Pelodiscus sinensis: one gene and its partners. The protein of the gene in region 1 interacts with the protein of each later gene in a biochemical or structural test. Links are inferred from orthologs where the notes say so. Each region holds a gene or a part of one and is shown on either strand. Other genes may lie near its edges. The genes, in order: RAB11A, RAB11FIP1 and RAB11FIP4.

The links.
Region 2: the proteins of RAB11A (region 1) and RAB11FIP1 form a complex in vitro, tested with the Homo sapiens proteins (2 studies listed by BioGRID, with this or other methods). The link is inferred for Pelodiscus sinensis from reciprocal best matches to the Homo sapiens genes RAB11A and RAB11FIP1.
Region 3: the proteins of RAB11A (region 1) and RAB11FIP4 form a complex in vitro, tested with the Homo sapiens proteins (2 studies listed by BioGRID, with this or other methods). The link is inferred for Pelodiscus sinensis from reciprocal best matches to the Homo sapiens genes RAB11A and RAB11FIP4.

What each region holds. Positions count from the first base shown.
Region 1 is NC_134724.1:5,321,889-5,330,030, forward strand, and holds the start of RAB11A (ras-related protein Rab-11A), read right to left. Parts: upstream 3,014-8,142; 5' UTR 2,916-3,013; coding exon 2,876-2,915; intron 1-2,875. UniProt on the Homo sapiens protein: The small GTPases Rab are key regulators of intracellular membrane trafficking, from the formation of transport vesicles to their fusion with membranes.
Region 2 is NC_134738.1:15,051,698-15,059,696, forward strand, and holds the start of RAB11FIP1 (rab11 family-interacting protein 1), read right to left. Parts: upstream 3,106-7,999; 5' UTR 3,021-3,105; coding exon 2,671-3,020; intron 1,851-2,670; exon of another isoform or gene 1,151-1,850; intron 1-1,150. UniProt on the Homo sapiens protein: A Rab11 effector protein involved in the endosomal recycling process. Also involved in controlling membrane trafficking along the phagocytic pathway and in phagocytosis. Interaction with RAB14 may function in the process of neurite formation.
Region 3 is NC_134730.1:18,980,639-18,988,640, reverse strand, and holds the start of RAB11FIP4 (rab11 family-interacting protein 4), read right to left. Parts: upstream 3,045-8,002; 5' UTR 2,985-3,044; coding exon 2,832-2,984; intron 1-2,831. UniProt on the Homo sapiens protein: Acts as a regulator of endocytic traffic by participating in membrane delivery. Required for the abscission step in cytokinesis, possibly by acting as an 'address tag' delivering recycling endosome membranes to the cleavage furrow during late cytokinesis.

The DNA of each region.
Region 1 (8,142 bases):
AAGGTAGGAACACGAAGGGCAACACGCTGAGTAGGAACATGAAGGACAACAAGAAATGATAAAACCCAACTTTTGTAAGTCTCACAATGAACACTTGAACAGAGTCAGGAGATAGCCAAGTTGCAACAACTCCTCTGACTCACTTGTGACTCTGTTCTAGGTGGGCCTCTACCCTAAACACCAGCATTATCCACACAGATTTGGAGATAAGGTTCGCAGCCTGTGACATTGTCGAGGAGGATCTACAATGTTTGTTCTGCAAAGTCTGGTGATTTAATGGAAGGGGAGTGGGGGAGGAATAAAAAATATCATCCATGCTACTCTAAGTGATTGAACTCAGTGTCCTCATCCGTAAGACCTCCCTTATGCTCACTTCTTTCTTCTAGAGATAACATTTGGAATAGAGATGTAACCAGTTTATATAAATTTAATTTTTTTGTTTTTCCATACAGAAGACTTATCCCTTAATATGTCCACATAATACAATTTTTGTAGTGCTTGTAATTTAAGATGGTGGCTTAAATAATTCAGTGTAAACAGAAGTGTAACCAGGACAAGAGCATTGGATATACTTTTCTACAATTCAAAAGGCAAATGGATTGTAACCTTGCCAGATAACAATTGCTGCTGTAAACAGATTCCCTAACTTGGTTTTACTTGTTGTATACCTTTGCCCTGACAGATGGTTCTAATGATGGGAAAAAGCAAAAAGATGCTTTCTAAATGGAAGAACATACAAAAGTTCACTTAAGTTAAATATGGGGGGAGGTGGGGCAGGAAGGGAACCTTTACATTCTCCCTTTTGAGTTCCATCCCTCTATATGCTGTGACACATTTCAGAGCTGCTTTTCAATTACAAGGTATAAACTAATATTTTAAATCCAAGGCTCAATACATGCAGATTTTCATTATAGTATTACAGCAAGTGGCTATATCTAAAATATTTTCAAATAGGTGGTTTAAGTGATATCTTTAAAGTTTCACTGAGTGTTCTGCAGCACACCATTTCACTAGGTGTTTTTTCAGCACATCTTACTTGTGAACATTTGCAACAACTGCTGTTTCATTCTTCAGAAAGATAAATGTTAAAGGGCCCATTTGCTACATTCTGATGCATCTTTAACAAAACTTAGCTGAACCAAAATGAGAAAAAATGCACCCAGATCCTGGAAAACAAGGAATTTTTTTTCCTTCATCTTCCAGGAACTTTATGGAGTGACAAAACAGGAAGTGAGATCAGTGAGTGAGAGATAATGGTTACAACAACCACTGGAGCAGAGATTCACCACAATATGAGGCAAGTAATGCAAGATTTACTACTGCATGAAAGTAGTTGTGCTTAGGCTATGTCAACACCAGGAAAAGCATAAAAAATAACCCTGTTTAACCTGTGAACTGCAATAGGACTACTCTCCTACACAATCACTAGTTACTTTTATTCAACACATTTACTGTTCTTAGTTCAAGAGGTGAACAGTAGCACTGTACGAAGATCTGAAAGAGCCCATGATGGCTGTTTTATATTAAAACTGCTCCAAGATTTAGTTATAATTGGTCATTTTAGAGTAGGCATGTCCAAAAATAGTCATTCCTTACAAAGCTCACATGTCCAGTACTTAAAACAATACTCTGCAAGGCAAGACAACCTAAAAGGGTTTCTGGAGCTACATCTTTAGTGGTCAGTATTCAGCCTTCTTTGGGCAATAAGAACCTGACAACACAAGGCTCCTTCCAAAGCAGTTGGCTCTAAATAGCAGGTCTCAGTCTTAAGAGTTTGACTATACGATTAGACACTGAAATTTGAACATTAAATTACTTATTACACTATCAAATCAAGGAACAAGCACCTCTGCAAACCACTTCCTCTGTCCCACAAAAGAAAGCCAAGATCATGGTTTACTAAACCCTTAGAGAAATTAAAGACACTGAGGTTGCTTTGTAATGATGACAAAAATGGCTTCCAAAATAGTTTTATAGCAAAGCAACCTCTGGAATACACTTCACACAGGATAAAACATCCTCTCAGCCAAAATCAAATGCTGGGACACACAAACATTACCAACAAGATAAGTTTTGTCCCACTCCATGATGCTGGTAGGGTGAGGTCAGAAGATATTACAGAGGAGTCAAATCCAGGAATAGATATTTCAAATTTAGGGACCTGACAAAGACTGGAACACCCTTACATCTTGCACTTTTACAAGTTTGGTTCCAGAAGTGGGGGGGGCAGAGGGGAAGAGAGGGCTATTCTCCCACACACCCAGTCCATACATCAGGGTAGAGAACCAGCTGGCTGGTCCAGCTGAGGGAAATATTCCTCCTCCCCCCCCCCCCCCACACACACACACCCTGCTGGCCAGTTTGGGGGAGGGGGAGGGGGAGGAGAGAATGTGCCCATGCCTCTGGAGAAGGAGCCAGCCCAGTTGGGGGGAATGTTGCGTCCCCCATATCCAGGCCACACCTCAGGGGGAGGGGCCAGCCCAACTGGGGGGGTGGAATGTGCCCCCCACTTCCAGTCCACGCTTCGAGGGAAGCAGCCAGCCCAATGGGGGGAGGGAGGGAGAATAAGCCCCTCCCCACATCCTCACCTCCGGTTGGGGGGGGGGCTGGCTGTTCCTCCCACTCCCCGCTAGGCAGTTGGGGGGGGACGTGCCTCCCCATACACAGCCCACGCCTCGGGAGGAGGAGCGGACCCAGTTGGGGGCAATGCTGCCCCCCACCATATCCAGTCCGCGCCTGGGGGAGGGGCCGGCTCAACCGGGGGGGCGCCCCCCCCCCACCTCGTCCACGCCCTGGGGGACCGCTCCCCAGGAAACCCTCCGCGGGAGGCTCCGTCCTGGCGCGGAGGGCGGCAGGGCCCGGGCGCGCCGCTCACCTTTGAAGAGATAGTCGTACTCGTCGTCGCGGGTGCCCATGGTGCGCGCAGCCAGAGAGCGGGAGCCGCCGCCGCCGCACTGCCAGAGCCGGGACCCCTCCCTGCAGCCGCTGCGGCACTTCCGCTCTCGCGCCCCACCCGCCGGCGAACGGCTTCCGGGGTCACGCGGAGCACCACGCCCAGCGGCCGGGGGAGGAGCTTCGCCGCCCTGGCCCCGCCCACCGACGGGAGCGGCGGGTTGCCTCGCCAACCGCTCGCCAACCGCCTCCCCGCTGGCCGCAGGGGGCAGGCGCGTGCCGGGCTCTTGTCACGGGCTCGGTGTAACGCCCGCTCCCGCCACACACACGGGGCCCCGGCCCCTCGCGCTATGGGCCCGTAGCCTTGGCCACAGGGAGCTCTGGCCCGGCTGCCCCCCTTGTATCCCGGCTCTGCCCCCCACAGACCCAGGCGGGGCGCACCCCGGCTGCTCCCCTCGCTGGGACCCCAACCGCCAAGCGGGAGCCCGCCCAACCGCAGCAAGAACGAGAGCCCGCCCGGGCGCTACTTCGCCACGGCGGTTCCATGGTGTAATGGTTAGCACTCTGGACTCTGAATCCAGCGATCCGAGTTCAAATCTCGGTGGAACCTGAATTTTTTTTTTCTCGCCCTTCTCCAAGCTGCAGGTGGGACCCTCCCGCTCTGTCCTACTGGCATTGCACTGTTCTTTTCCCCGAGAGATCTAATTGTTGTCCATACAAATACATTAATTCTTATTGGATCTCTGTGGTCCCTTACCCAGCCCAAGTGCTTTGGGAGTTATTGGTTGCAATAACCCAGGCATGTCCAAAGTCCGGCCCGCGGGCCAATTGCGGCCCGTGTTCCGGTTTAATACGGCCCCCCAGGTAACTTGGCAATATCTATCTTTTATGGCCCCCAACGAATCCATATGTATTGAGATGAATACATTGTAAAATCTCAGTTAATGTCAGTTGGTCTAAATCAGTTATAAATATATTTGGACACAACATGTATACTTGGTGTTATGTTCCTGTTCATATTTTTGGAACTTAAAAGTTGACAGACAACCTTTATTACCAATAATATGCAATGTACTTTACAATGTTCCTGACATATTTCAGCTTCCTGGATTTTTTTTTCATCTGGCCTTCAGATATGAAAGGCAGAGTGATTTAACACCTGTTTAGATTTGTCATCCATGTGACGAAATGAAAAGTATGCCGTTTGCAATAAACTTTGCATAAAATAGTTAATTTGCATTTAATTTTAATGGTTCAAAGAATGTCAGGCAAAATGGTCGGCCCTCACGCATGTTCACTTCATCAAATCTGGCCCTCTTTGAAAAAAGTTTGGACACCCCTGCAATAACCAGTAAGGAGTAGAGTTCTTCTGTTACACTAATAATCATTAATACCAGGATCATTCGGTGTAGAATAATATTTAGGAGGAGACACCTGTAAAACTGTTCAGCTGTCTCCCTGCAAAGAGCAGCCTTGAATTAGGGCAGCGAGGAGACTCAATCAGGCTCACAAACCTCTCAGCAATAAGCACAGAGTGGGGCTGAAAGTAGCCAAGTTACAAGCAAATCAATGGTGAGCTGGAGTTTTGAGTCCCTGTGCTTAGGATAACCCGGATCCATGCAATACAAGTATTGCTAGGGAAAGACAAATTAAAAATGTGAATCTTTTACGTAACTTTCTTTGGCCTTGTGACTACCAAGCGCTCTGGATGCTTTTCATCAGTGATGGGCATCCTAAGTCAGTGAGTGGGCTGCATGAGTGGCCCTTCTCATCTTAGTGGGCAGAAAGACTGTCATAACCAAGACCATCTCCTAGGATAGGGTAGTTTTGCTAGCTGTGCTTGCATTCGGAGAATTTGCATGGTGTGCTGATTCAACTGTAGCAGCATTTTGAGTGGATGTACAGGGAGCGCACAGCTCTCAGTCAATGTTGCATGCACTCAGCATGCACCTCTTCACATGCCCTCGCTCTGTGTGTCACTTTAGTAATAGGAAGGAAAAAAACTAATGCAGATGGAACCCAGCAGAATCTGGCAACTGTGCATGGAGTACAGTAAACAAAATGTCTCATGGGCCACACATAGAACCCCATGGGTCACACGCAGGCCACAGGCTGCCCGCCACTGCTTAACACATAAGTAACTCATTGGCCACAGGGTGTGAACAACTTGGCATAGGAGTTTTACACGGTGGATTTTGTACTCTAGGTATGACCAAGCATGGGACTCTACCCAGTCAACTGAAGAAAATGGTCTCCATGTGTAGGAGTCTCCAGTGAGATGTCCAGGACTTGGCAGAACTATCACATCAGCAAGGGCAGTGAAGGTAAACTACCACTCCAGTCTGTGAAAGAGTTCACTATGTCGAGGAGGGCTCATGGTGTGGGGGCTTGAAGAGGAAAGCAAGTAGGACTGAGCCTTGTGTGTGAGGATCTCTGGAAATGTGCTGTGTCCACAGAGAGTGTTAAAAAAATCTAGAGCTATTTGGGAACAAAATGAACAGTCAGTGTGCTCCACTTCACATCACCTCAGTTCAAAGATTGGGTAGATTTTTGAAAACCCTGTCTTTAGTCTTGAAGATCTTACATCTAGTCTTTCTCCTGAAAAAAAAAACTGTTGGAGGGAGAAGTAGGTCATAAAGTTCTGCTTGGCAGGGGGAAACTCATTTAGCAGGAGGGAGCAGAAGAAGATACTCAAGCATTCGCTTGGGCTAAGGCAGAAACAGCTTTGAATGTGTCCTACATGATGTGAATAAAAATCTGGTACCACAATGTCCCTCTTACCACGGGATCAGAAAAAACACAGGTGAGCAAAGCTGTTTTGAGCACTTATCCAAAAATGCTGTTGGGAGAATGAGTGTTGCTTAAGGACTGTCTAATGTAAAGCGATGACACTTGGGTACAATCCCTGAAATTCTTATTTCATAGGGATTGGATTCAATTCTGTGGAAGTCAGTGAGAGCTTTGCCATTGACCTCCATGGCACAGTATTGAAACCAAGATGTGAGGAGTTAAAATGATACTAGTGGCCATATAATTGAACTGGAGCCTTTAAAATTTGTTCTTCCACAAGATTGCTTTTGGCAGTGGAATTGATCGGTTACACATCTGCATAATTAAGGGGAATGTTCTGATCTCACTTTATAGAAATGTAGCCCACCGGCATTAAGGAGAACTATGAATATCAAGCACCATTCATTGGGATAAGAAGAAACCCTTAATGGAATCTTTTGTTTATTTAAGAACATGCTGTTAAATTCACACCAATATGCGAACATTGAAAATAACACTGAAACATTGAAAATAAAAGATTGAGTGGAGCCATTGATTTGCAATAAAATAAAGTACATAATAGTTCATCCATTAAAGAAGAAGGATGCTCTATAATAAGGGCACTAGATCAGCCCTCAGGAGATCTAGGTTTCATTCCTTGGTCTACCACAAACTGCTTCTGTGACCTTGCGTGTCACTTAGTTTCCTCTGATATGTTTACATTGCAGTGAAAACTGCATAGCTCAGACACCAGGCTGTGGATTCAGGCTGATAGACTGAAAACTGCATTGTAGATGCCTGGGAGCTGAGGCCTACTTGCCTCATGAGATCATAGAGCCTAGGTTCTACACTGTAATGTCAGAGCCCTGCAAACTCAAGGCTGTTATCCTGTGCCACTCTCAGGTCTTTTATTGCAGGGTAGATTACTTTCGGTGCCGCAGGGCACAAGAGGTGATTTACATTTTTCCCTGTGAGTGCTCCATCCCTGGTCTGCCCCAGGACTCCCACTCCACTCTGCCCCTTTTCCAAGGCCCTGTCCATGCTCTGCCTCTTCCCACAGGCTCTCCTCTCCCTCCGCCCTAGCTCCAGCTCTTCCCACCCTCTCTATGCCCGCTCCCTTGAGCCAACCTGCCACTCCCTCCTCTCTGCCTCCTCTCCCCCAAGCATCTCCCACCTGACAAATAGCTCATTGGCGGCCAGCCCTGGGGCTGTCAAACAGCTGATCAGTGGCCAGTCCCAAGGCCAGAATCACTGGGGCTAGTGGGTGATGAGCACCCTCTATTTTTTTTCTGTGTGTGCTTGAGCTCTGGAGAACCCACCAATTAGGCACCTATTCCTGAGGGAATGTCCACGCTATAGAATGATGTCAATCTAAGGCTTTGGCCTTTTTTGTACTAACCCCCATCATCAATCAAATGTGTGTGACTTCAGCTACGCAAGCAGCATAACTGAAGTCGATGTATTTACTATGGCGTCTAGTGTACGGTAAGGTCAGTAGGGGTTGCTTTCCCAAGATGCCAGCTACTTTTCTTGTCTTGATGGAATACTGGCATTGATGAGAGAGCACTCATGGATTGCTTTATCATGTCTAAGCAGACATAATAAATCGACAACTGGTGGATCAATCATTGCAGTATCAATCCCCATCTATACATTCAGGTTTAAAGTCCTGTCACTACAGTGTGGTCATGGATAAACACCTCCTTAAGGGTACTAGCTAACAGTGCTGGGAACCCGTTTACACTGCAGCTTTACAGGGCTGTAACTTGCTGCACTCTGAGTGGAGGGTGTTTTTCCCTACCCCTGAGCAAGAAAGTTACCAGGACTAAGGTGCATACAGGATTGGGATAGCAGGAAGTGTGGCAAACCAAGAACAAGGAGCATTGACATAGGTTTGAAGGCAGCCAGGTTTGAATTATATGGGATACTTCATATAGGTAATGAAGGGTAGTAACATTATTGATGAGTATGTACTTCAGCACTGGAATAGCAGAGAATTCAGCAGTCTAGGGATGAGGTGCATTGGCATTACCAGGGCCAGCTTTAGGCTGATTCGCCCGATTCCCCCAAATTGGGCCCCACGCCAGTGTGCTGGCATGGCTGGCTTCTGTGCACCGCAGAACGAGTGAGTTGGCCCCAGGGCCCAGGGTTTGGTGGGAAGGTGGAGATTTAAAGGGACTGTGACTTTTTTTTCTGTGCGCTGTTTTTTTGTTGGGTTTTGGGTTTTTTTTTTTGGCTCAACCAAAATTTTGTATGTGTATTTTTTATTTTTTATTTTATTAATTTTTTTGGTGAGTGTCAAGAAAAAATCCTGGCTGCCGGGACCTCGTCGAAATGGTTCGAATTGGGCTCCGTACTTCCTAAAACCCTCCTGGGCATTACTGTCCTTATCCTTCTTGTATCTTGTCCATTACATTTGTTTCTCATAGTATTGAATTTAAGTAAATAAAAAAAACCCACAAATCAAACTATCACCACATT
Region 2 (7,999 bases), on another chromosome or scaffold:
GAACAAAACTCCACCTTTCAAACACATATTGTTTAATAAGCACATAGCTAAAAGGCACTGTCGTCTTCAAAGCATTTTGAAAACATTAATCTTCATTCCTATTGTGAACTCCATTGTTCATCCTCCCACTTATCCTTAAGGATGGTATGATTCGACCCACAGGATTCAAACTGTGTCGGGCACTCATATAAAAAGGGACACAGAGATCCTATCTATGTCCGTTTGCAAAGAAAGTAAATTGTATTGCAAACATACCAATGTACTGTACAGAACACTTTGTTTTGTAGGGACGTGCTTTCATGGCTTGATTTGACCTGCAGAGCCTTCTGCTGGTGATAGGCTCTTTTTTGTGCACTGATTCTGCAGTATTAGGAGCCAGAAAAACATTTTCTCATTTTATAAATGGAAGAATATGATGAAAAGTACTTGAAGCTGAACATCAAGTCTCAGAATGCCATTTTAAAAAATCATTTTCCTTCAAATCAATCAATCCATATCTTTGTCTTTTCACAAATTGACCATCTATGCTCCTAAATCCAAGCTTTAAATTAAAAAAAAAATTTGTAGCCCTCATGAAAGAATCATTACACGCAAATCCACAAGAAGCAGAGCGGATTCTGTCTCAAAATTTCCAGTAATATAGCCAAGATACATAATTTGTTCCTATTCATCACACTGGCACGTTAATTTAGATGCCTCATGACATCCAACTTCCATGTCAACATTACTTCATAAACACCTGCTCAAGTGTTTATCCTGCAATCTGAAACTGCTCTCCACTCCCTCTCGATGTCAACAGCTTCCTCTCTCCTTACCCACTTGCTAAGCCATTGGCTTCCTCTCACCTGCCAAATTCAGATTAACTTTGCCATGGAATAGCACAGGGATTTCCAACCTGGGGTACGCGTACCCCCAGGGGGTACGAGAAGCTTGTCTAGCGGGTACAGGGAATATTTGGTAAATAACTAGATTGTCCTAATTGAAATATTCCAAAAGTAGTAGTGTTAGTGAAAAAAGTTGTGGATTCTAGAGTCTAGAATTTATTTCCTTTCATATTGAATAGGGGGTACAGGAAGGTTTACTAAAAGCCAAGGGGGTACGGGGACTGAAAAAGGTTGGGAACCCCTGGAATAGCAGAAACATTGCCTACCCAAAAACACACAGGAGAATTTCAGCTGATGTACAGCTCCCCTATTTCTCGGATTCTCTCCTTGTTATTCAAGTGTATATTCCCTGGTTTGCTCTCTCACTTGGCTTCCAGTTCATTTGATGAAGTGGGTTTTACCCATGAAAGCTCCTAAGAACAGAAGAGCAGCCAGACTGGACGAGACCAAAGGTCCCAATGTTCTGTGTGCGACAGTGGCCAATGTCAGATGCCCCAAAGGGAATGAACAGAACAGGGAATCATCAAGTGATACCTCCTCTGTCACCCATTCCCAGCTTCTGGCAAACAGAAGCTAGGGACACCATCCCTACCCATCCTGGCTAATAGCCACTGATGGGCCTAACTTCCATAAATCTATCTACAGGAGGTCCCTGACTTGCGACCGCCTGAGTTCCAACCCCTCTGCACTTACAGAAACAGTTGTAAGTGTAGAAGGGGCCGAAACCCCCCGACTTACGTCCTCAGCCCGCATTTACGATGGCACACGGCGCATGCCGTAAATGAGGGTCTGAATGAGGACGTCCCCAACTTGCAACGCTTCCCCGGGAACCGATCCTGTTGCAAGATTTATACATGTGCGCGCACACACTTTTGGGGGGTCTCCAAAGTGCCACAGGCCCACTCATTTTTAAAGTTACCTTTCCTCCCTCCCTTTCCTTTCACATAACGGGGCCCCCCCTTTTTTTTCCCCTCCACCACATCTGGGGGTGGGTGGGGGGGTTGCCCACTCCCTCCCTTTCCTTTCCGGTTACATAATGGGGCCCCCACTTTTTTTCTCCACCACATCTGGGGGGGGAGGGTTGCCCACGAGTCTCTCGATTCGGCAACGTGTCCGAGGTGTCCTGGGCCCACGGGCTAACCCGGGCCGCCCCGGGAGAGGGGAAGTCAGACCCCCCCCCGGGGGGCGGGACGTGCGTGCAGGAGGGTCTCTAGGGTGGATACCCCCGGGGGGGCGGGGCGGTGGGGGGCGGGCCCGGAGCGCACCCCCCCGGAGAGGTTCTCTAGGGCGGGGCGGTGGGGGGGCGGGCCCGCACCCCCCCAGGAGAGGGTCTCTAGGGTGGATACCCCCGGGGGGGGCGGTGAGGGGCGGGGCAGGCCCGCACCCCCCCGGGAGAGGGTCTCTAGGGCGGATACCCCCGGGGGGGCGGGCCCAGAGCGCACCCCCCCGGGAGAGGGTCTCTAGGGCGGGGCGGTGGGGGGCGGGCCCGCACCCCCCCGGGAGAGGGTCTCTAGGGTGGATACCCCCGGGGGGGCGGGCCCAGAGCGCACCCCCCCGGAGAGGGTCTCTAGGGCGGTGAGGGGCGGGGCGGGCCCGCACCCCCCCGGGAGAGGGTCTCTAGGGCGGGGCAGTGGGGGGCGGGCCCGCACCCCCCCGGGAGAGGGTCTCTAGGGCGGATACCCCCGGGGGGGGCGGGGCGGTGGGGGGCGGGCCCGGCGCACCCCCCCGGGAGAGGGTCTCTAGGGCGGGGCGGGGCGGGCCCGGCGCACTCCCCCCCCCGGCTCACCGGGTGCTGCGGCGGCCGCCCTCGTCCAGCAGCGCGGCCAGGCCGATGTCGGCGCGGCCCAGGAACTTGTCGAGGCCGAGCAGCGCGCGGTGCAGCACGGTGAGCTGCAGGCGGGGCTCGGCGGCGCCCGGCCGGCGCGGCGGCGGCAGCTCGAAGGCGGCCTCCTCCCGCCACTCGGGCGCGCCCAGGCAGCGCTCGGCCACCGACGTGGCGAACCGCTCCTTGCCCAGCGCCATGAGCGCGTACGCGTCGCTGCCGCCGCCGCCCTTGGCCCGCAGCCCCCGGGCCCGCAGCACCGTCACCTGCACGTGCGTGGGCGCCCAGCGCGGCGCGGGGCCCGCCAGCGACATGGCGGACAGACCGACAGACAGACCGAGCGCGGACTGACTGACTGACCCGCGCGCTCCCTGACTGACTGACTGACTGACTGACCCGCGCGCCGCGCGCCGGCGAGGCCGCGCCGCAAATCTCGCGAGAGCCGGGCCGGCCTCCAGCCGCCCCGGGGCACAGCGGCAGGTGGAGGGGCGGAGCTGGGGGAGGGGCGGGGGAGCTGAGTGGCAGGTGGAGGGGGCGGGGCAGAGGGGGAGATGAGCAGAGGCAGAGGGAAGGGGCGGGGCAGAGAGGCAAGTGGGAGGGGCGGAGCTGGGGGAGGGGCGGGGGAGCTGAGTGGCAGATGGAAGGGGCGGGGCAGAGGGCGAGAGGAGCAGAGGCAGGTGGAGGGGGCGGGGCAGAGGGGGAGATGAGCAGAGGCAGAGGGAGGGGCGGGGCAGAGAAGGGGGTGGGGCTGAAGGGGGCGGGGCAGAGGCTTCCTGAGGGGTGGTGGGTGGGGCCAAGGCACCCACGGTTCCCTGCTGGGGGAGTCTCACTTCAAACCAGCACCCCCGGGTGTCAGGGCTCCTCTGGGGCTGCGTAGCGCCCACCCGTCAGCAGCCACCATCTCAGTAACACCTGGCCCGCTGGACTGCCCCAGCCTGCAGACAGCCGCCCCCCAACTGCCCCCTTCCAACAGCCGCCCCCAAGTGTCCCCTTCCAACAGCCGCCCCCCAACTGCCCCCTTCCAACAGCCGCCCCCAACTGCCCCCTTCCAACAGCTGCCCCCCAAGTGCCCCTTCCAACAGCCGCCCCCAACTGCCCCCTTCCAACAGCTGCCCCCCAAGTGCCCCTTCCAACAGCTGCCCTCCAAGTGCCCTGGACATGTGACCAGCCCCCCCTCACTGCCCCCTTCAAACAGCCGCCTTCCGACCCCCCCTTCTCCACAGCCACCTTCCCACTGCCCCCTTCAATCCATTCCCACAGGAACATAGAATGAGTGGCAGGCCCCCCAGGCAAGGGAGGCTGGTGTTTATTTGGCAGGATTTCTGAACAATCACAAGTACAGTATCTCAGCTTGGAGCGTTGTGATTCTATCAGTCAAAACCATCTTTTCACCCTCAACATACCCTGCCATGTTTTCTGGCTTTATACAAGAAAAAGCTGCAAATGTAGGAGTGACCTCTGAGCTTTACAGGTCACTAGAAGCTTCATTCCTTTGGTGCCCTTCCCCTTTTCCGTAATTGACGGTTTTACACCAGGAAGCCTTGTTCTGCCCAGAGAGAAGCGGAACGCAAAGGTGGTTTCTGCAGTTTCGGTGCTGGGCTCATATCAGTGTAATGCTTTCAGGGCGGGGTGAGGATCAGACTGGTTACTCATTTACAGGAGTTGGTAAACAACGATCTCACCTGTTCCCTTAACCACAGTTCCCCAGTAAGAAGCTCTGTAGTCACTCCTTGTGCATGCTCACAGATGGGTGCACTGAGTCTTGCATTGAGAATTTCCTGGAGGTTAGGACCATAAAAGGCTATTAGCCAGGGGATAGAATTGGTGTCCCTGGCCTCTGTTTGTCAGAGGCTGGAGAGGGCTGGCAGGAGACAAATGGCTTGATCATTGTCTTCGGTCCACCCTCTCTGGGGCACCTGGTGCTGGCCACTGTTGGCAGACAGGCTACTGGGCTAGCTGGACCTTTGGTCTGACCCAGTACGGCCGTTCTTATGTTCTTATGAGGAGATTAACTGAGTATTAAAAACAGGAACATTACCTCCACTACAGCTCCTAATCTTGCTAATGCAGGAGTAAATCTTTGGAACATTTCTCTACTATGGACATAAGAGCAGCCAGACTGAGTCAGATGAAAGGTCCATCTAGCCCAGTGTCCTGTCTTCCCAAAGTGGCCAATGCCAGATCCCCCAGCGGGAACAAACAGAACAAGGAAATCCCTCCCCTGTCACCCATTCCCAGCCTCTGGCAAACAGGCTGGGGACACCATCCCTACCCATCCTGGCTAGTAAGTATTGATGAACCTGTCCTCCATGAATTTATCTAGTACTTGGTCTTCACAACATCCTCTGGCAAGGAGTTCCACAAGTTGCCTGTGCGCTGTGAGCAGAAAAACTTCCTTTTGTTTGATTTAAACCTGCTACCTATTAATTTCATCTGGTGACCCTTAAGTTCTTATGTTATGGGAACAAGTAAATAACTTTTCCTTGTTCACTTTCATGATGTTATAGACCCTTAGCATATCCCCCTTTAGTCTCCTCTTTACTAAACTGAAAAGTCCCAGTCTCATTAATCTCTCGTCCCATGGCAGCCGTTCCAAATCCCGAATCGTTTTTGTTGTCCTTTTCTGGACCTATGTGGCTGAAACTACAGTCATAAAGTTCTAGAATGAACTCACACAGGAAAGCGACAAACTTCAAGTGCTCACTTCATTCTCTTGAGCTGAGATATCACTCTTGTGATATTACCAGTTCGTCTGGGTCTCCATCTGTAAAAAACAACAACAACTTTTTGAAGGGAAAAAGTATGCCAGGATTTCTCAATACATCACCCAAATAAGCATCCCAGTGTTTTCCTTAGTGGCTCAAGTTAACACATCCTGGGGATTCACCTTCCCTCATCCTGGAACTTCTATCCTTAATGCTTTGTTTACCTTGTCTTCCAATAATTTCCCCTTGGGGACGTGACCAGTTAAAGACGAATGCCAGGCCCCATTTGTAATGCAAACAGGCCCATGACCCATGAGTCAAGTGTCCTGAGTTCTCCATGTGACCCTAGATATAAAGAGATTGCAGAACTGAAATAATAAACACACATGGGAAAAAATAAATTCACTGTTTCAGCAGAGACCAAGTATGGAAGTTGTCAGCCCAGTGCTGAATGTTGTAGCTCGTTATGATCAAATGAATATGGGGTGATGACAGCAACTGTGATACAACCTTAACTATCGCAAATGCAATTAGACCCTTTGTATTTAAATGGTACATATCAGATGACCAGTGTGTCATGGCACACAATATACAGTTGACAACAGACAGTGGCATAGGTGGAGACAGCATCACGTGCGATGCCAGATGATAAATTGCACGGCTATGCCACAAATGAGTTTATCACACCTTTGACTGCCTCACTGCCCAGTGCCCGCTAATCTGACGATCTAGGACTCGTTCCAACATTCCAAACGGCTGAGCAGCCATTTAAAAATAGTTCTCCTACTGGAGAAAATACAGCTTGTCCTTCTCTCTCCACACCTGGGATTTCTCCCCATATTTACACTGACCCAGAGGGAAAGAGATATTCTTGAGCCAGTGACAGATGCTTTATACATACAAATGTCTATAGTTTTAGAGTCCACCATCTCCTGGCCCTTTGAGGCTATAAAGCCAGGGCTGCATCCCACTGGAGACTAAATGCCCCGATAGCGACTATGGAGGTGAAACTAGACAACCACAACACTCTCAAATGAACTCACACAGGAAAGCGAGCCCTCTACACCTGACCTGTCAGTCCCATCCTCAAGTGAAATCTACACAATACTGTCAAAAGACGAGCTGGGAGCTGAAATTCATAACTTTCCTAGATATTAAAAATCAGGAACTGTGACTACGGACACTGGATTTATGGCTGATTACAACTATCTCTAACCCATTGGAACAACATTCTTCTTCCTCCTCTTTCTCTTCCTTTCCTCTGACTGCAATGAATGTTTATAGGGCCATGCCACCTTGAATGGTCCCTTGAAATATGTGTTAACTACTTGTGCTCAACAATTAGTTCCTCCTTGTATTTAGCTGTGGTCATAATGGACCGCAAGCTAAATATAAGTCCACAGTGTGACACTGTTGCAAAACAAGCAAACATGATTCCGGGCTGCATTCACAGGAGTGTGGTGAGCAAGACACAAGAAGTCATTCTTCCACTCTACTCTGCGCTGGTTAGGCTGCAGCTGGAGTATTGTGTCCTGTTCTCGGCACCACATTTCAGGAAAGAGGTGGAGAAATTGAAGAAGGTCCAGAGAAGAGCAACAAAAATGATTAAAGGTCTAAAAACACGAGCTGTGAGGGAAGGCTGAAAGAACTGGGTTTGTTTAGTTTGGAAAAGAGAAGTCTGGGGGGCGATGCCAGGGGTACTTTTCAAGTACCTAAAAGGGTGTTTCAAGGAGGAAGACGACAAATTGTTCTCCTTGGCCTCTGATGCTAGGATAAGAAGCAATGGGCTTAAACTGCAGCAAGGGAGGTTGAGGCTGGACATTAGGAAAAACTTCCTACTTGTCAGGGTGGTTAAGCACTGGAATAAGTTGCCTGGGGAGGTTGTGGAATCTCCATCACTGGAGATATTCAAGAGCAGGTTAGACAGACACCTGTCAGGGATGGTCTACAGGGCTTGGTCCTACCGGGAGGGCAGGAGACTGGACTTGATGACCTCGCGAGGTCCCTGCCATTTCTAGGGTTCTGTGACTCTGAGACTAAGTACCTTTCCCAGGCCTGGAGAACTGCTCTGTGTAAGCCCAAAAGTTTGTCTCTCTCACCAACTGAAATTGGTCCAATACAAGAGAGTCCCGCCCCCACCTTCTCTCATTAGAGTGGAGTGATTCCCCGCTGACAATCGACCTGCCACACACGGCTAGAAGACCTGAGATAAGGGACTCTAACGGTGAGATGGGTTTTGGCATTAACATCCATGTTTGTGTCATTTTCATCTGGGCTAAGACACCCCCTGAGCCCCACTGGATCCGTTTCATCCTCCTCTTTGCATGCCTGTGTGCTGCCTTGGAGGGTTCACCTTTTGGGGCGTGGCTCTGTGATGCTTCGAGTTTGGGCTACGCTCCGGAGTTTTCCCCAACTTTAAGCTTGGCTGGAAGGTGGGAGGCCTCAGCACGAGGCACAACAAGCCTAGCATTGCTGCTCGCGGAACGAAAATACGTGCAGCTGGGCTAGTGAAAGCCTGAACCGGCCTGCCCGCTGGCACACCCAGATCCAGATAGCCTGGTTTATAGGTCAGACCTTAAACTGAAAGG
Region 3 (8,002 bases), on another chromosome or scaffold:
CAGATTCAAGAGCACTGAAATCAGATCGTTAGTTTCATGCGATGTTGGCCTCAAATGTTAATATTTTAGCTGCAGCAACCAAAGCTATAAACTAGCACTGACCCTTCTGGATTAGGAGCTGTCCCAGAACCAAAACTGTAGAGGCAGGGGACATGAATCCACATGCACTTAACACACTAAAATTAAAGGAGTTCAGATGTGAAGTTCTGCTTTGATCCACTTAAAGCAACAAATGTAACATATCAAGGACTGAGGGTTTGATCCAATTCCAAAGCCCAATAAAATCAACAAGGGTCTTTCAATGACATCAACAATTGGCTTCAGATCAGACTATGTATACAAAGACAAATTAAGACAAGTTCTAATATGCATGCTACACAGAGGTAAATTCCTTGGTCTCATTCTTGCAAGTATATTTTTCAAACATTGTCAGTTACAACTAACAAGAATGTAATGATGATTACGGGGCATTTCTCATTACCATTCACCCTGTTTAGCTAGACATATGCTGCAGCCTGTAATTTAATCTCTTATTTGCATATTATTTATTTCTCTGGCGCCTAGTCAGTCATCTAAGTCCCTCCCAAAAATTTAGAATAAACCATTCACGGTTTATAATTTTCCAATATTTTAATTCATCAGTCTCCACGTCTAAATATTTCGAATACATTCATCTACAAAAAAATAAAGACATTTTAAGACATGAGTCAACCTGCTTGCTCCAATTTTTCTCCCTGCTCCACTCCTAATAACCTGATAGATTCCGTACATGCTAAAGTCATAAAGAACATCATCATCTAAGACTGATCTCCAGCAAAACAAAGGCCAGAGAATTTTACAAGCCTTCCAAAATGCCAGCAAGAAAAGGTTATTGATCTAAGAATGAAATAAATATAGTAATACAAAAACCACCCATAGTACAATGCTTCTTGCAATATGGATTTAAGAATTTAGGCCCTTTGTTTATATAGGAATGTATAACTTTTCAATGGACAAATAAAAACAGAGAGGTCAAAAAGCTCACTCCTGTTAGTCCATTCTTCTCCTTATATTACTGGTAACTGAAAAATAGCACTAGTCTCTCATTAAAGAAATATTAAACAACTCAGTGATTAGATGCAAGAAATGGAGCCTCCTGTTTCTTTAATTTAATTCACAAGTCTTGTTCCATTACCAATTTTCCAATCCAAATTTAGTAACTTCATTTGACAATGACTATGAATTCATTATGCTTTTCTACTATCGTACCTCCCTGGATCTCTTTTATAAACGTATCTCTCGTTACAATCTCTGCAGATTAATGTTTTGCTGCATTTTAAAAGGTCAGAACTTTTCATCCTGACATCAGCTTTGTTTTGTGGCACTGCCTCCTTTTTTTCCAAGTGTCAGAGCATTTTGTTATGTAGCGATTCAGAGAGGCAATACCGTATTCTGAAGGGGAGCAATTGTATCGTGAAATTCAAGATTTTATGTCTGGTTAATTTTGTTTGAGATTTCTCTCTTTACAAAATCATTTAAGAGGAACTGTTCCAATTGAAATGCATGTAATTATTCTGACATGGGGCCAAATTCTACTCTTCTGTACACTGATGTAATGCAGTGATAATGATTCCACTGAAGTTATGGCTCTATTGAAGCCAGTGGAGTGACTCCAGTTGTATGCCTGAGTCAATGATAGGCCCATAATTCTAACTCACAGCTTTTCTGTGTGTTCCATTGTAGTAATATGTAATGTGATGCTGCTAAATATCTTCAAAAGCATTCCAGAAAGTACTCTGTGTTCTTTAAACACCAAGAAGGCCAAACAAGACTTACTTGTATAAGGAATTATGACAGACCCATAACAGAGTGACAGGGTTTGCATCAAAAGCACCCATTTCAAAAGAGCATCTTGTTTGCATAATTGATGGAGCCTGTTTTCAAATTATTCCTCTATGGAACCTTTTTTCAGATTGTTCACATAGCTAAGGAGGGAATGTTACCAGGCCAGAGAAACCTTTCCTTTCACTAGAACAGTCATGCCCTGGCCAAACAAACAAAAAACCAGCGAAACCCAGACTCATCACACATCTGTTCACTAGAGCAGGTGTATATCTGCTTAGAAAACAAGGCAAAGCAAGGCCAGCTTTGTAAACAAGGTCATACCCAGGTGTTTCATGAGAGACGGGAGCTATTTGCATGAGGGCAAAACAGCAGGGTAGGAAATAAACTCAAGAGAACAGGAGCCTGGCCCTGCAGTCTGATTCAGACCAAAAAAATTATATTGGGTTATATTCTGCTTCACCCTGCTCCAGGGTTCATTCCCATGGAAGGCCATGTAGGTCGTGGCCTATTTACCTGTTTGGCAAGGGGGTGGGGTGTTCCAAAGCAGAGACTTCAGTGAAGTTGCTTCATAGTGACAAGAGAAAGAGGGTTTCGGTGCAAAATGGGCGGCTGCACACACATACCTGCCCCTCTCCCGCGGGGGGCGAGAGGGGGCTGGAGTCACAGCCGCCCCATCCCTGAGGGTGTCTCTGTCTGCTCCAGGCTGCAGGAGAAAGTGCATTTCCATGCAATCGCCTCCGCCGCGATCGGAGCCCGCTGCAGCCTGGTCCTGCGGGCGCCGGGCGCCCCGGGGGAGGCGAAGCGCTGGTCTCTTGCAGGGGCAGCCTCGGTGCCAGCTGCTGCAAAGGGACAGAGATGCCCAGGGCAGAGGGGGCTGCAGGTGCAAGGGGAGAGGAGGCAGGGCGGGGGAGGGAAGCTGGGGGGGGGATCCAAGGCGATGGAGGAAACCGGCCCCGGGTACCAACCCCCCGAGCCCGGGGTCTGGGCGCGCCCCCGGCCCCTCTCACCTCCTCCCCTTGGCCGAACTGCAGCCCCAGGGCCACGAAATGCTCCACGCGGATGAAGCCGTCCGCATCCTCGTCGCACACGTCGAAGACCTGCTTGAGCTTCCGCAGCAACCGCGGCCAGTCGGCCGGTTCCCCGGGCCCGGCGGGCTCCATGCCGGGCACCTAGCGCGAGCCCCGCGCCAGGCTCCGGCCGCCAGCAGCCATGATCGCCGGCTGCCTGCCTCCCTCCCTCCCTGCAGCCGGCGTGTGACATCAGCCAGCTGGGGGGGGGGGGGGAGCAGGGAAAGAACGGGGGGGGGGGGGGAGCGCTGGGAGAAAGGGGACTAGGGGAGGGGGTGCAAGAGAGGAAGGGGATCCGGGGGAGGGGGAGTGTGAGAGGGAGGAGAGAACCAGAGGAGGGGGAGGGGAGAGGGGGAACCAGGGGAGGGGAGGGAGAATATGAGGGGGAGAACCAGGGGAGGGGGAGGACAGGGGAAGGGGAGAGGAACTAGGAGAGAGACGGAGTATGTGGGAGAGGAGGGGGATCTGGGGCAGGAGAGGGGGAAGAACCAGGACTGAGGCAAGGGGGGGGGGGGGTGAGAGAGGAAGGGGAGGACTAGGGGAGAGGGGGTGTGTGAGAAGGGAGGGGGAGGGAGGTGGGAGAGGAGAGGGGTAGAAGAAAGGAGAAGGGAAGGGGGGAAACGGGGAATGGAAGGGGGGGAGAGGAAGGGGATCTGGGGCAGGAGAGGGGGAGAACCAGGACTGAGGCAAGGGGGGGGTGAGAGAGGAAGGGGAGGACTAGGGGAGAGGGTGTGTGTGAGAAGGGAGGGGGAGGGAGGTGGGAGAGGAGAGGGGTAGAAGAAAGGAGAAGGGAAGGGGGGAAACGGGGAATGGAAGGGGGGGAGAGGAAGGGGATCTGGGGCAGCAGAGGGGAAGAACCAGGACTGAGGCAAAGAGGGGGATGTGAGAGAGGAGGGGGAGGACCAGAGGGAGGTAGGAACTAGGGGAGAGGGTGTGTGTGAGAGGGGAGGGGGAGGGAGGTGGGAGAGGAGAGGGGTAGAAGAAAGGAGAAGGGAAGGGGGGAAACAGAGGGAATGGAAGAGGGGTGTGTGGGAGAGGAAGGGGATCTGGGACAAGAGAGGGGGAGAACCAGGACTGATACAAAGAGGGGGATGTGAGAGAGGAGGGGGAGGACCAGGAGGAGGTAGGAACTAGGGGAGAGGGGAGAGGGAGAAGGGGGGAGGAAGATGCTAGAGGAAAGGGGTAGAAGAATGGGGAGGGGAAGGGGGGAGAGGATCTAGGAGAGGGGGTGTGTGAGAGAGGAGGAAGATCTGGGGAAGGAGGGGAGAACCAGGAATGGGAGGACCAGGGCTGTGGTGAGGGGGATGTGAGAAGGGAGGGGATGCAGAGCAGGGGGAGGGTGTTTTAGGGCAGGGAAGAGGGAGAACTAAGGGAAGGAATGGGGAGAGAACAGCCAGTGATAGCAAATATGGTAGGGAGGAGTCAGGTGAGACCATCCCTTAGAGCTAAAAGCACAGAGGCACCAGCAGGAGACACGGCCACCTCCTTAGGGGTCTCTGGCTCCGCTCGTGCCCCTTGGCACAGGGCTGCACTTTACTGTCTGGTCAGTGGAGTCAGGCTGCTGTAGTTGCTGATGGGAGCTGGAGCAAGGAGGCCTAAACCAAGCTCTCAGTTACCCCGGATCTGGTAAGAGAAGAAAGGGCAAATCACATTGGTAGGAGGTGAGGGAGAGAAGGGGGCAGGCAAAATAGGGAAGAAGAAAGAGAAAGGCAAAAACAAAAAAAGTAGGAGAAATGAAATGAATGGGGAGGAGGGGACAACAACAGCAGCCACTCACCAGGTACACAGGGCAAGAAGGGAAACTGGCCAAAGAAAAACTAGGGGAGAGGAGATAGTTAGTATTTTCTGGGGCTAGGGAAAAAAAGAGGGAGACCGGCTGAGAGTCTAAGCAGATAACTAATAGCAAAGGGATTGTCATGCGCTAGCAGTTATAACATGGAATTGGGACTCAGGGAACCCGGGTCTCCCTCTGTGCCTCAGTTTCCCAATTTGTAAAACTGGGATAATACTACTTGCCCTCCTTTGTAATGTGCTTTGTGCTCCACAGCTGAAAAGTATCATGAAAGAGTTCAGTATTAGAAGTCAGTAGAATATAAAATAAAGAAAAATCAGATTAAATGGAGGAGAGCTGGAAATGAAAAGAAAGTGTGCGACTAAGATAAAGAGAGGGCAAACAAAAGCAAGCACCTGTCTGCTCCAGATAAAGTGAATAGAGGCATCTTTGATTTTGTGCTACTCAAAAAACATTTTGCAGCAGTGTTGGTTTGTAAGAGGGGACATTGCATGGCAATATAAGTCAGACATGATCAAGTCATTTAATGACTCGCCTGCCATTGCAAGTTATATCATCACTGAATAACGATTCAGTGTAAAATTATCTTTTCTTAATTAAACCCTTTTGCTACTGCCCCTCCGACCTCCTGGCTTAAAATAGCCCTTCTAGTCTATATCCACAAGCTTTCTAGGTGGTCAAAGAAGTGGACAAAGAATGGATCCCTCTTTCTGAATTATGCCCTGGGTCCTGTAAATATTCCATTTTACATCTTGTGTGATTTGACGAGTGATGTTTTTCAGACTGTTAATAAGGCCGCTCCCTTAAACTGCTCTGTGCTAAAGATTTTACACTTAGCACTGGGCTTTGAAATGAAAACACTATCTCATACATTTCTTGCTTTCCCAAAACAGAATAACAAAGGTCTCACATTCCGCCTCATGTCTCTGGAAATGCCATGATAGAAAGAAGCCCATCAAAATTCTTCCCTCCTCTGGTCCAGGGGCCATACATTTCCCCCCTCCCCAGAAGTTTTGGTTCTCCAAACACACACTTCATCCTCTTTGTGTGTGCATTTGATGTTCAGGAAGAAAACCTGCTTGACAGCCCTGTGGGTTGATGTCTTATGTTGATCCATAGAACAGTGACAGTGTAAGGAACAGAAGCAGTGCAAGCTTCCCACAGCCTGCCACCTTAATTTGAAGGGGCAACAGACAGAGGGGAGGGATTAAAGAGACACTGCCAACTTGGTATTTCTTTAAGCAACCTATTTTAAAAATTCCAGTTTCCATAAGACAGTCTTTAAATAAGTACTGTGACCTGACACATTAAAAAAATGTATAAGGATTTCAGCTCTACTACTGGGCTATGTCTAAACAGGCATGATTTTCCGGAAATGCTTTTAACGGAAAAATCGTGATACACTCAAGCCCCTGCTGCCCCCTGCCCAACTGATTTTTCTGTGGGTCATCGGCCCCAGACCTAAAAAAAGTTCCCCACCTCTGCCCTAGGGCCACATTTTCAAGCTTTTCTCCACAACTCTTGACATTTAGAACGTATAAACAGTCAGACTGGGCCATATCAATGGTCCATCTAACCCAGTATCTTCTGACAATGACCAAGTTGGGTGCTTCAGAGGGAATGAACTGCACAAGGCTATTATCAAGCCATCTATCCCCTGTTGGAGAAATCCAGCTTCTGGCAGTTAAATGTTGGAGAAATCCAGAGCATGGGGTTGCACACCCTTAACCATCTTGACTAATAGCCACTGGTGGACCTACTCTCCATGAACTTAGCTAATGCTTTTTTGAACTGTTATGCTTTTGGCCTTCACATCATCCTCTGGCCATGAGTTCCATAGGTTGACAGTGTGTTATGTGTAGGAGTATTTTATTTATGTTTGTTTTAAACCTGCTGCCTGTTCATTTCTTTGGGTGACTCCTGGTTTTTGTGTTAGGTGACAGGGTATGTAACATTTCCAGGTCCATTCATTTTCTCCACACTTCAGGGGTTAGCCGAGTTAGTCTGTACAGAAAAAAAAACCATGTAGATGGTATCACGAGCTTTCATGGGCACAGCCCACTTCTTCAGATGACTGGAGTTCATCATACCATGGACTGATAGCTTCTGATATTTTCTGCCTTCTTTTCTATCCCTTTCATAATGGTTTCTAACATTCTGTTATTTTTTTTTTATTTCCATTGTACATTGAGCAGAGGGTTGCAGAGAACTGTCCACAATGACTCCAAGATTTTTCTTCAACTGTAACAGCTAATTTAGATTCCATTAGTTTGTGGAGACTTTCTTGTGTTTTATAGGAAAGCTGATCATCTCCTGTAAGCAATTGACTTTAGGAGCTGGAGCTTAAGAAAACTCACCAAATAGCACAACAATCGTGATACAATCATGAGTTGCAACATGGCACCCTAGCCTGCACTGGTGTGTGTTACATAGTGCACTATAAAAATGGGTATGCTTGGTTGTGCCTGATCAGCCCAAAGGAACACATTCTCTGGCAAAATGCAGGACAATGTAGCACTTTAAAGACTAACAAGATGGTTTATTAGATGATGAGCTTTCGTGGGCCAGACCCACTTCCTCAGATCAAATAGTGGAAGAAAGTAGTCACAACCATATATACCAAAGGATACAATTACTTTCTTCCACTATTTGATCTGAGGAAGTGGGTCTGGCCCACGAAAGCTCATCATCTAATAAACCATCTTGTTAGTCTTTAAAGTGCTACATTGTCCTGCATTTTGCTTCAACTACCCCAGACTAACACGGCTACATTTCTATCACTATTCTCTGGCAATAATCTTCATTGACATCCGTGGAAGTTCCACCTTTACTATGATGAAAGAGCAGTCTCTTTTGCTCTAGGCTGGGAGCTGCAAGTCAGGGTGGCTATGCACTGGCAAAGATAGGGAAGCATACACTAAATCTGCCTGTTCAATGACTGGATCACTCTGTCTCATATTTGTTCCAAGCCATAGCTACATTTGCAAAGAAGCACTGGAAGCTAAGGCTGAAAATTGGAGTTTGAGCACCGACATGCAAAACCGGTGTGCCGCGAAATCTGCAAGAAGGCCGATATCCGAGAGCGGCAAAGTACGGTAAAGAAACTGTCACTGCAGACGGCCAAGCTTAGAGCTGAGATCCCGGAGCAGATATGTCAGCGCAGAGCACATGGGAGCTGAGATGTGAAGGGCAGAAGCAGGATGCTGGGCGTCAGGGACTAAGATCTGAAAGCTGGGAGTATCCGGGGCACGCTGAGCTGATTGTGTGCTGTACTCACTTGCCTTGCAGTTGCAATAGGAAGACACAGCATGAAAGGCTG